Linked DNA regions of Macaca fascicularis. The protein of the gene in region 1 purifies or fractionates together with the protein of each later gene. This does not show direct contact. Links are inferred from orthologs where the notes say so. Each region holds a gene or a part of one and is shown in the gene's direction. Other genes may lie near its edges.

Region 1 (4,405 bases):
TGGCATCAGCTTGGTTTTGTTTGATTCTTCTCTGAGGACGTGTCTGCTGAGCTCTTTGCTACTTTCTGGCCTTTTCTACTGCAGGAAGGCAGCTGAGGGCAGGGGCAGGGGCAGGGGCAGGGGGCTCCCCCAGGGAAGTTGCAGACCCTGCAGAAATGCAGTGGCCTCCAGGGTCCAGCAGGAGGGCGTGGGGCCAACACAGGGACCCCTGTCCTCCCTTCCTCTCTCTCTCTCTCTCTGGGGTCTTTGAGAGAGGACCACCTGAGTTTCCCCTGGGACTCAGTGCTCACGGTTGGATGACCTGAGGAGGGTGGGGCCGTGGGCACAGTGGGGGTGTTTGTTCCCTGCCCCGGGCTGTGGGAGCCCAGAAAGCAGCACTAATGGGATTAGGGTGTCTGAGGTGTTTACTCCCAGCCAGGAAGTTGTGCCCTGTGTGGAGGGGGAAGGGGATAACTTGAGGCAGCCCCTATCCCTGAAGCCGCAGTCCCCTGAGGGCCTTAACCCCCTACTTCTAACTCTCACTGAGTTTGTAGCCCACCCTGAGAGGTTGGCTCGAATTCTAACTCCCCTATTTCGTGCCATTTCACCTCTAACTCTCCACCCCAACCTGGATTCTTCATTCCTGACACTCATCCCAACTTGAAATGGCCCCTCCTGATACCCTCTCCGAACCTGAGATCTATCCGTGAGCCCCCACGTGTCACTGCCACTCCATACTCCATCACCACCTCACCCAGGACCTTTCCCACTGACGTTCCTGAAGGGGTCCCAGAGCCTCATTTGGGTGTGAACCTGTTCCCCTCCAGATCCCCCAGCCCTGGCCCTGAGCCTTACTTGGCATGGCAGACAGTACTGGGCATGGAGATCCCTGCCCCATTTTTGTTTTTGAGTCTTTATTTTTTTAAGAGACAAGGTCTGCTGTGTTGCCCAGGCTGGAGAGCAGTGGCTTGAGCATAGCCAACTGCAGTCTCGAACTCCTGGGCTCAAACGATCCTCCTGTTTCAGCTTCCTGACTAGCTGGGACTACAGGCTACAGCCACGCTGCCCGTCTAATTAAAAACAAATTTTGTTTTTCCTTTTTATAGAGACAGAGGTCTCACTATGTTGCCTAGGCTGGTCTTGAACTCCTGGCCTCAGGCGATCCTCCCATCCCCCTCCCTAGCTTTTGTGTCACCACATTTCCAGGGCAATCTCCCATCTGTCACCCACCACCCCCTGCATCTTCTTTCCTAGCTCCCTGATGGAACTACTCCCTCCCTGTCCCCCATGCTCCAGACACAGACTACCCCTTCCTCCACCTCTCTAAAACTCAGGCTGAGCTATGTACACTGGGTGGTGCCTATTGCATCCAGGTCCCTGCTGGTAACTGCTGGGGCTTACCCGTTACCCAAACAAGAGGCTTGGTTGCAAGGCTGGGCTGGTGGAGGGTGCTGTGGCACTTAACACATCAGCCCACAGCAGGAAGGCAGTATCCACTCTCCCCTGTCCCCTGCTATGGGCAGGGCCTGGCTGGGGTATAAATAGGTCAGACCGCTGGGCCGTCCCCATTCTTCCCCTCTCTACAACCCTCTCTCCTCAGCGCTTCTCTCTTGGTTTGGTGAGTTGTGTTGGCCTGATTGGCATGCAAGGAGTGTCAGAGGCCAGGGCTGGGGCAGGAGAAGGGGAAGCTGGTGGGGGCTAGATGTGCTAAAGAGATCCAGATGTGAGACTCTGATGTGGAACTCTGGGTAGAGTGTGTGCGTGGGTGTGCATGTGTGTGGGTGTGCATGTGTGTGGGTGTGCATGTGTGTGGGTGTGCATGTGCACACACACGTGCACGTAAGAGGGAGGAAAAAACCAACAGAAAAGCGAGCAAGTGGCTAGATTTGAGCTCTCCAGGTGCTTCCGAGATGTGGGCTTGCACATGCTGTTGCTATAGTATGTGTTGGTATGTATGTGCCCATGGGTATCTGCACTGGCTCATGTTTGCTGGGTTGCGCACTCGGGAGCAGGAAGCAAAGGAAAGGCAGAAGGCAACTGTGGGCGTTCGTCTGGTGGTGTGCCCCATGAGCCTCTGCCCTGCACGCAGCAGCCCAGCTCAAGAAGGAGCGTGGCCTCTGCACCTTCTCTTCCAACCCTTGCCTCTGCCATCTCACTTTGCCCCTCCCTACGCTGAGCACTAAGCAGCTGGTTTTTTCCGCTGCAGGCCCCTGGGCAGGCCTCCAGCAGCCGCACCCAGTGCTGGGAGGGAGAAGAATGGCCAGGGCGGGGCCTTTGTGGCTGAGCCGTGGGAGTGGATAGACTGAGCGAGGGATGGAAAAAATGCTGTTGTTGAGGCGAGGCCTGGGAGGCCCTGGGAGCTTGCTGCCTGAATCTCCAGAGCCTGCGCAGTGGGTTCTGCAAATGTTCACTGCCCAGAGCATGTGTTCCCCACTGTGCACACCCTCCCCGCCAGGTGCTGGGCCCACTGCTCTGGGCTCCCCCAGGGAGGGAGCAGAGTCTCGCCAAGTGATCCTGGAGGGATGGGAGGGGAGCCTGGCATTCTGAACACATCTCTGAGGGGTGGGGTAAATAAGAGGGTCTCTGTGCCTCCTGCTCCCAGATCCTGACTGCTGTCATGGCGTGCCCTCTGGAGAAGGCCCTGGATGTGATGGTGTCCACCTTCCACAAGTACTCGGGCAAAGAGGGTGACAAGTTCAAGCTCAACAAATCAGAGCTAAAGGAGTTGCTGACCCGGGAGCTGCCCAGCTTCTTGGGGGTGAGTGGGTAGTGCTTGAGTGTGTCCCCACGTGGGGCATTTCCCACAGAGGAGGGCAGCAGTCTTGATCTAGAGCATTAGCTACAGAGGGCATCTATCAGTGGGGTGACTGCCTGGGGTGGAAACACATTGAACACCACCGCTCACTGACTGGCCCCATATGCTGAAAGAGGGCTGAGAATGAATGTGTCAGACACTGCCAGATGCTTTGCACAACTTAACTGAAGGGAAGACTAAGCTCAGAGTGCTAAGTAACTTCCCAAGGTGGTCAGCGTACACAACTGCCATCTGGACCAGGACTGTCTGACTCTTGCCATCACGCCAACAGTGGACACTGTTTGAGTTTCTGTTTGGCTTGTAGATGTGAAGACACAGATGTGGAGATGATCACAGGCCTGCAGACATTCCCCTCAAACACTAACAATGTATATTTGTATCAAACATAATACAGTTTACATATTGCTTTCATGACTATTACTACCTCATGGGATTATTAGAGCAACCTTGGGTGAAAATGTAGTGGTTCCGTCATTTTTCCATTGCACCAGGTACTCAGACTTCCTTATCCAAGGAGTACCTTCTCCATCCTAGCTTAGCCTTGAGGGTTGGAGTTCCAAACTGGACCTCCCAAAGGAGCCTCCCTGAACTCTGGTCTGGCAGTAGAAACTGGGTCTGGTCCTGGCTCTCCCTACTGGGCTTCTGTTTTCTATCTGTAGCCTCTTCTCCCTCCAGAAAAGGACAGATGAAGCTGCATTCCAGAAGCTGATGAGCAACTTGGACAGCAACAGGGACAACGAGGTGGACTTCCAAGAGTACTGTGTCTTCCTGTCCTGCATCGCCATGATGTGTAATGAATTCTTTGAAGGCTTCCCAGATAAGCAGCCCAGGAAGAAATGAAAGCTTCTCTGATGTGGTTGGGGGTTCTGCCAGCTGGGGCCTTCCCTGTCGCCAGTGGGCACAGTGCCCCACCCTGGATCCTTCAGACACGTGCTTGATGCTGAGCAAGTTCAATAAAGATTCTTGGAAGTTTTGAGGCTGATGGTTTGAGAGACTCTGGGGGCATGGGTTGGGGGCTGAGAGAGATGTTGTGGGGTGGTGGTGGGGAGAGCTGAAGTTTTATGGAGAGCAAACCAGTGAAGTCAGGGGAGGGATGCAGGATGACTATGAGTGTATGCACAGGCAATAAAGTTCACTCAGTGAGGTCAAAGCTGAGAAGGGGACCCCATAACCACCCCCTTGTCAAGGTTTGGAAAGCTCCAGCTGTGGGATCTCAGCCAGCCCACTTACCCCTCCCACCTCTCTCCAACCTTGCCTCTGACAGGATCTTGAACCGAGGCTGGAATTGAAGGTCACATCTGTTCCTGGCTGGGGTCTGGAATGGAGTTTGGGTGTCCTGGGAGGAAGTCAGAGGGAAAAGAATAAGACTGAGCTGCAGGGAGGAAGTACTTAGGTGACAGTGGGATGGGGAGGAGGGCTGGCACTTAGTGCTGACATTTACAGTCCAGGCTCTATCCTGCCACCCCCTTCCAGATCCCTGGCTTCAAACCACAGGGATGGATTAGTCCTTTCCTGTCTGTGGTAGGATCAGGGAAGGCAATGTGGAGGGAGACCCGGCTGTTTGCAGCAGCATGAGAATATAGGCATTCTCGAATCCACCGTCTCTGCCAC
Region 2 (3,808 bases), on another chromosome or scaffold:
GGCCGGGGGACTCCTTGAGCTTATGAGTTTGAGATAGCCTGGTCAATATAGTGAGACCCTGTCTCTCCAAGAAAAAAAAAAAGAAAAGATGAAAAAAGAAAGCCAAGCCTTGATCATGTCCGCCAATAAGCATCATTTACTCTTCGCTGTCTGCTGAAAGGAAATAGAGAGGGCAGTTTAGCCAATGCCTAAGTGCTTTATCCACAGATAAAGTTCTCAAAACTAAAGAGGAAAGAAATAAATTCTCTGTTTGTAGTATGTGCAGATCAAGTCAATGCAGATCACCTTTTGTAGTGACCCAGCAAGTGCTTGTCAAACTGTGGTTTTCAGAGCCCTGGGGTTCTACAATCCTATCTCAGAGCATCAGGAAGAGAGAGAAACAGGTGGAAGGCAGCTTCATTGGCAAAAAATACTAATTTGGGGTTTTGGGGAAGATTTTGTTCCAAATGGGAAAGTGGGTTCTGACAAGCCCTTGGGGCATATTGGTTTGAGGGGCTCTTCGTTTACTCCAGTTTTCTGAGATTCCCAAGAACGTCCCCCTGCTACAGGCCAGCACAGTGAACTCCTCCTTTTGTTCTTTTTCGCAGGATGATTTACTGTCTTTGAAGGTTGTGAGTGTGCTACACCACCTCAGTATCAAAAGGGCCATCCAGGTCCTAAGGATCAATAACTTTGAACCAAACTGTCTACGGAGGCGGCCATCTGATGAGGTAGCGTTTTAAGATTGAGGTTTATAAGCATGCACTTCCAGGCATGGGACTGTCCATATGTCAAAACTAAGAGCCATTTTTCTTGGAGCTTGCAGGAAAAGTCTTAAAATTCAGCCTCATTTACTTCTTAGGCTTTTTCTGTGTTCCTTCCTTTTCTCTCCATGATGGTTCCACTTGTATAACTAAAGCTAAGGGTTCATTTTCAGTTATGCTTCTTCCTTTTCTTGGGTGTATTTTTTTTCCTGATTCCCTAATCCGCAGAGATAAATATCACTATAAAGACTTCCTTTTCTGGCCAAATGTAGTGGCTCATGCCTATAATCCCAGCACTTTGGGAGGCCAAGTCATATGGATCACTTGAGCCCAGTAGATCAAGACCAGCCTGGGCAATATAGGTAGACCCTGTCTCTACAAAAATAATAGTAATAAAAAATTAGCCAGGCATGGTGGGTGCACGCTGGTGGTCCCAGCTACTCAGGAGGCTAAGGTCGGAGGATCTGCCCAAGCCTGGGAGATGGAGGCTGCAGTGAGCCCTGATTACACCGCTACAACTCCAGCCTGGGTAAGAGAGTTAGACCCTGTCTTAAAAAAACAAAAACAAAACAAAGAAACAAAAAAAGTCCTTTCCTAAACCAATGCTTTATTAGTATATAAGAAAACTTGAAACACAAACTATGACAGAAATTCTTTAAAAGAGAATTTTTCCCTTTCTTTATGCATTTAGTGGGATGTTGAGTAACTGTACCCCATGGAGCAGACTTTTTAGACAGAAAATGCAATTTAATACTTAGGATCTTGGTTGTGTGTTCCCACAGAATACCATCGCCCCCTCAGAAGTTCAGAAGTGGACTAACCATCGAGTGATGGAGTGGCTGCGCTCCGTGGACTTGGCAGAATATGCCCCCAATCTCAGAGGCAGCGGTGTCCATGGTGGGCTCATGGTAAAGCTCTGATTTAATTTCAAACTGACTTACTTTGTTTCCTTTAGTCTAGTGAGTAGGATAGTATCAATTTTTGCTTATCATAATCCTAAAGTCATCTGACGCAACCCTCCTGCCCTATTTCTAGTAAATCTTTACTTTCAGAGTATTTGTATTGATATCTTATAACTCTGGATTGAATTTAAAGCCGGTTCTCTTTTATTGTCCTCTTTCATGTCAAATAACATGTAGCTTCTTCCTCTCATATGATCATGTTTGAAAACCCCTGCAAGGATGCAGATTGTATTTCTGCACATTGATATTGCATAAGGAGTTGGCTGCCACGGACAGCACCCCAGAGAGGTAGAGGACTGATATTGGGATGCCAGAATCCTGGATTTCAGGACCAGCTCTATCACTCACTAGCTTGGGCAAAATGGAGAAAAGATATGTAAATTAAAGATCAAAGTCCATATGGTGTCTACCTCACCAGGCTGTTGAGAGGATCATTGGAGATAACCTAAGAGAAAGAGCTTTGCAAATTATAAAGCACAATACAAACATGTATGATTTGTGGTGACTTTTGACAAGCTTATTTTTTTTTAACAGGTTCTAGAGCCTCGTTTTAATGTAGAAACAATGGCTCAGTTATTGAACATCCCACCCAATAAGACTTTGCTGCGAAGACATTTGGCCACTCATTTCAACCTTCTGATTGGGGCTGAGGCACAGCACCAGAAGCGAGATGCCATGGAGCTGCCGGATTATGTACTTCTAACAGCTACTGCCAAAGTGAAGGTTGGTTCAGGCTCATACAGTTTAATAATTGCTTGGCGCAAAGGCAACATTTTGTCTGTTACCTGTTTATTCTGTTTTCTGGGGTTTGCCAAGTTTTGTGGATGAGTTCCTTACCAGCAGATGCAGGAATCCTCAGCGCTTAGTTGTCTTGGGAGAAAGATGTTGGCCGAGAGACAGTTCACAGATAGCAGAGAGCTTTATTGAAGGGAAATAGGGAGCAAAGAGCTTATTGTAAGAAAAAAAAAAAAATACAGGGGCTGATCCTGCAGGGAAAACAACAGGGTCGCAGTAGCAGTGTTTATGTAAAGGGACAGTACACTCCAAAACCCGAGGCACAGCGGGCTGCTGAAAGAGAAAAGAGGCCAGGAGTTGTGCGTCGGGTTTGTATGATGTCCAGTTTTTTCTTGAAGCTCTCGCCTCTGTGTTAAGTCCCTGCCTTTTTTATCTCGTTTTCCTGCTCCTGCCTTAAGTCCTTGCCTTTTCCCTGCCTAGTTCCCATCCTAGGTTTGTGGGACCCTCCCTTACTATAGTTGGTGCACATGCGTGGGCTGGATGTTGGCTGCAATTCTACCTAAAGGCTGCATTGCTCATTCCCGCCGCCCCCAGGAAGGTTGTATAACAGTCAAATCTATACGTACTGTGCCTGCATTTCTCTTAGGCATTCTCCTTTGCCCTCTTGCCTTCTTTATCGGCATGCAGCTAGCTAAATTCTGGCAGGTGAACTGCAGAGTGAGTGATTATTGAGCATCTTAAGGGATGTTCCTTTCTCCACAGGTATTTCTCCTCCTCCTCCTCGCTGCTCATAGGGAGCATGCATGTTTTGGGTGGTTTCTGGGGTGTGAGATTTTTCCGGACCTCTCTTTTCTCAGGGGCTTCCCCTCATGTCTGGCTATCTGCCTACTCTAACAAATTGAAGAAACAGTTGACCCTTGAAGAACATGAGTTTGAATTGCACAGGTCCACTCCTACTCAGATTTTTTTTTTTTTCAAGCAAATGTGGAGGGATGCAAAACCCACATCTAGGGAGGCTCGACTTTTTAGGTACACGGGTACGCTGGACTTGAGTATGTACGGATTTTGGTATACATGGGGATCTTGGAACTAATGTTCACTGAGGGACAACTGAGTATATATCTTTTAAAAGTATAATAATTAAGGGAAGGTACCCAGATAGCTCAGGCAGTAGAGCATCAGACTTTTAATCCGAGGGTCCAAGGTTCATGTCCCTTTTTGAGTGCTCCCTCTTAGGTGGGCATGGTGGCTCATGCCTGTAATCCCAGTGCATTGGGAAGCCAAGGCAGGAGGATCATGTGAGTCCAGTAGTTCAAGGCTGCAATGAGCTATGATTGAGCTATGAGCATGCCACTGCACTCCAGTCTG

What was found.
Region 2: the proteins of S100A4 (region 1) and liprin-beta-1 purify together in Homo sapiens (co-immunoprecipitation; 3 studies listed by BioGRID and IntAct, with this or other methods). This does not show direct contact. The link is inferred for Macaca fascicularis from reciprocal best matches to the Homo sapiens genes S100A4 and PPFIBP1.

What each region holds. Positions count from the first base shown.
Region 1 is NC_088375.1:107,616,015-107,620,419, forward strand, and holds S100A4 (protein S100-A4), read left to right. Parts: upstream 1-1,546; 5' UTR 1,547-1,597; intron 1,598-2,581; 5' UTR 2,582-2,596; coding exon 2,597-2,737; intron 2,738-3,469; coding exon 3,470-3,634; 3' UTR 3,635-3,768; downstream 3,769-4,405. UniProt on the Homo sapiens protein: Calcium-binding protein that plays a role in various cellular processes including motility, angiogenesis, cell differentiation, apoptosis, and autophagy.
Region 2 is NC_088385.1:30,431,147-30,434,954, forward strand, and holds part of liprin-beta-1, read left to right. Parts: intron 1-587; coding exon 588-710; intron 711-1,525; coding exon 1,526-1,651; intron 1,652-2,239; coding exon 2,240-2,428; intron 2,429-3,808. UniProt on the Homo sapiens protein: May regulate the disassembly of focal adhesions. Did not bind receptor-like tyrosine phosphatases type 2A.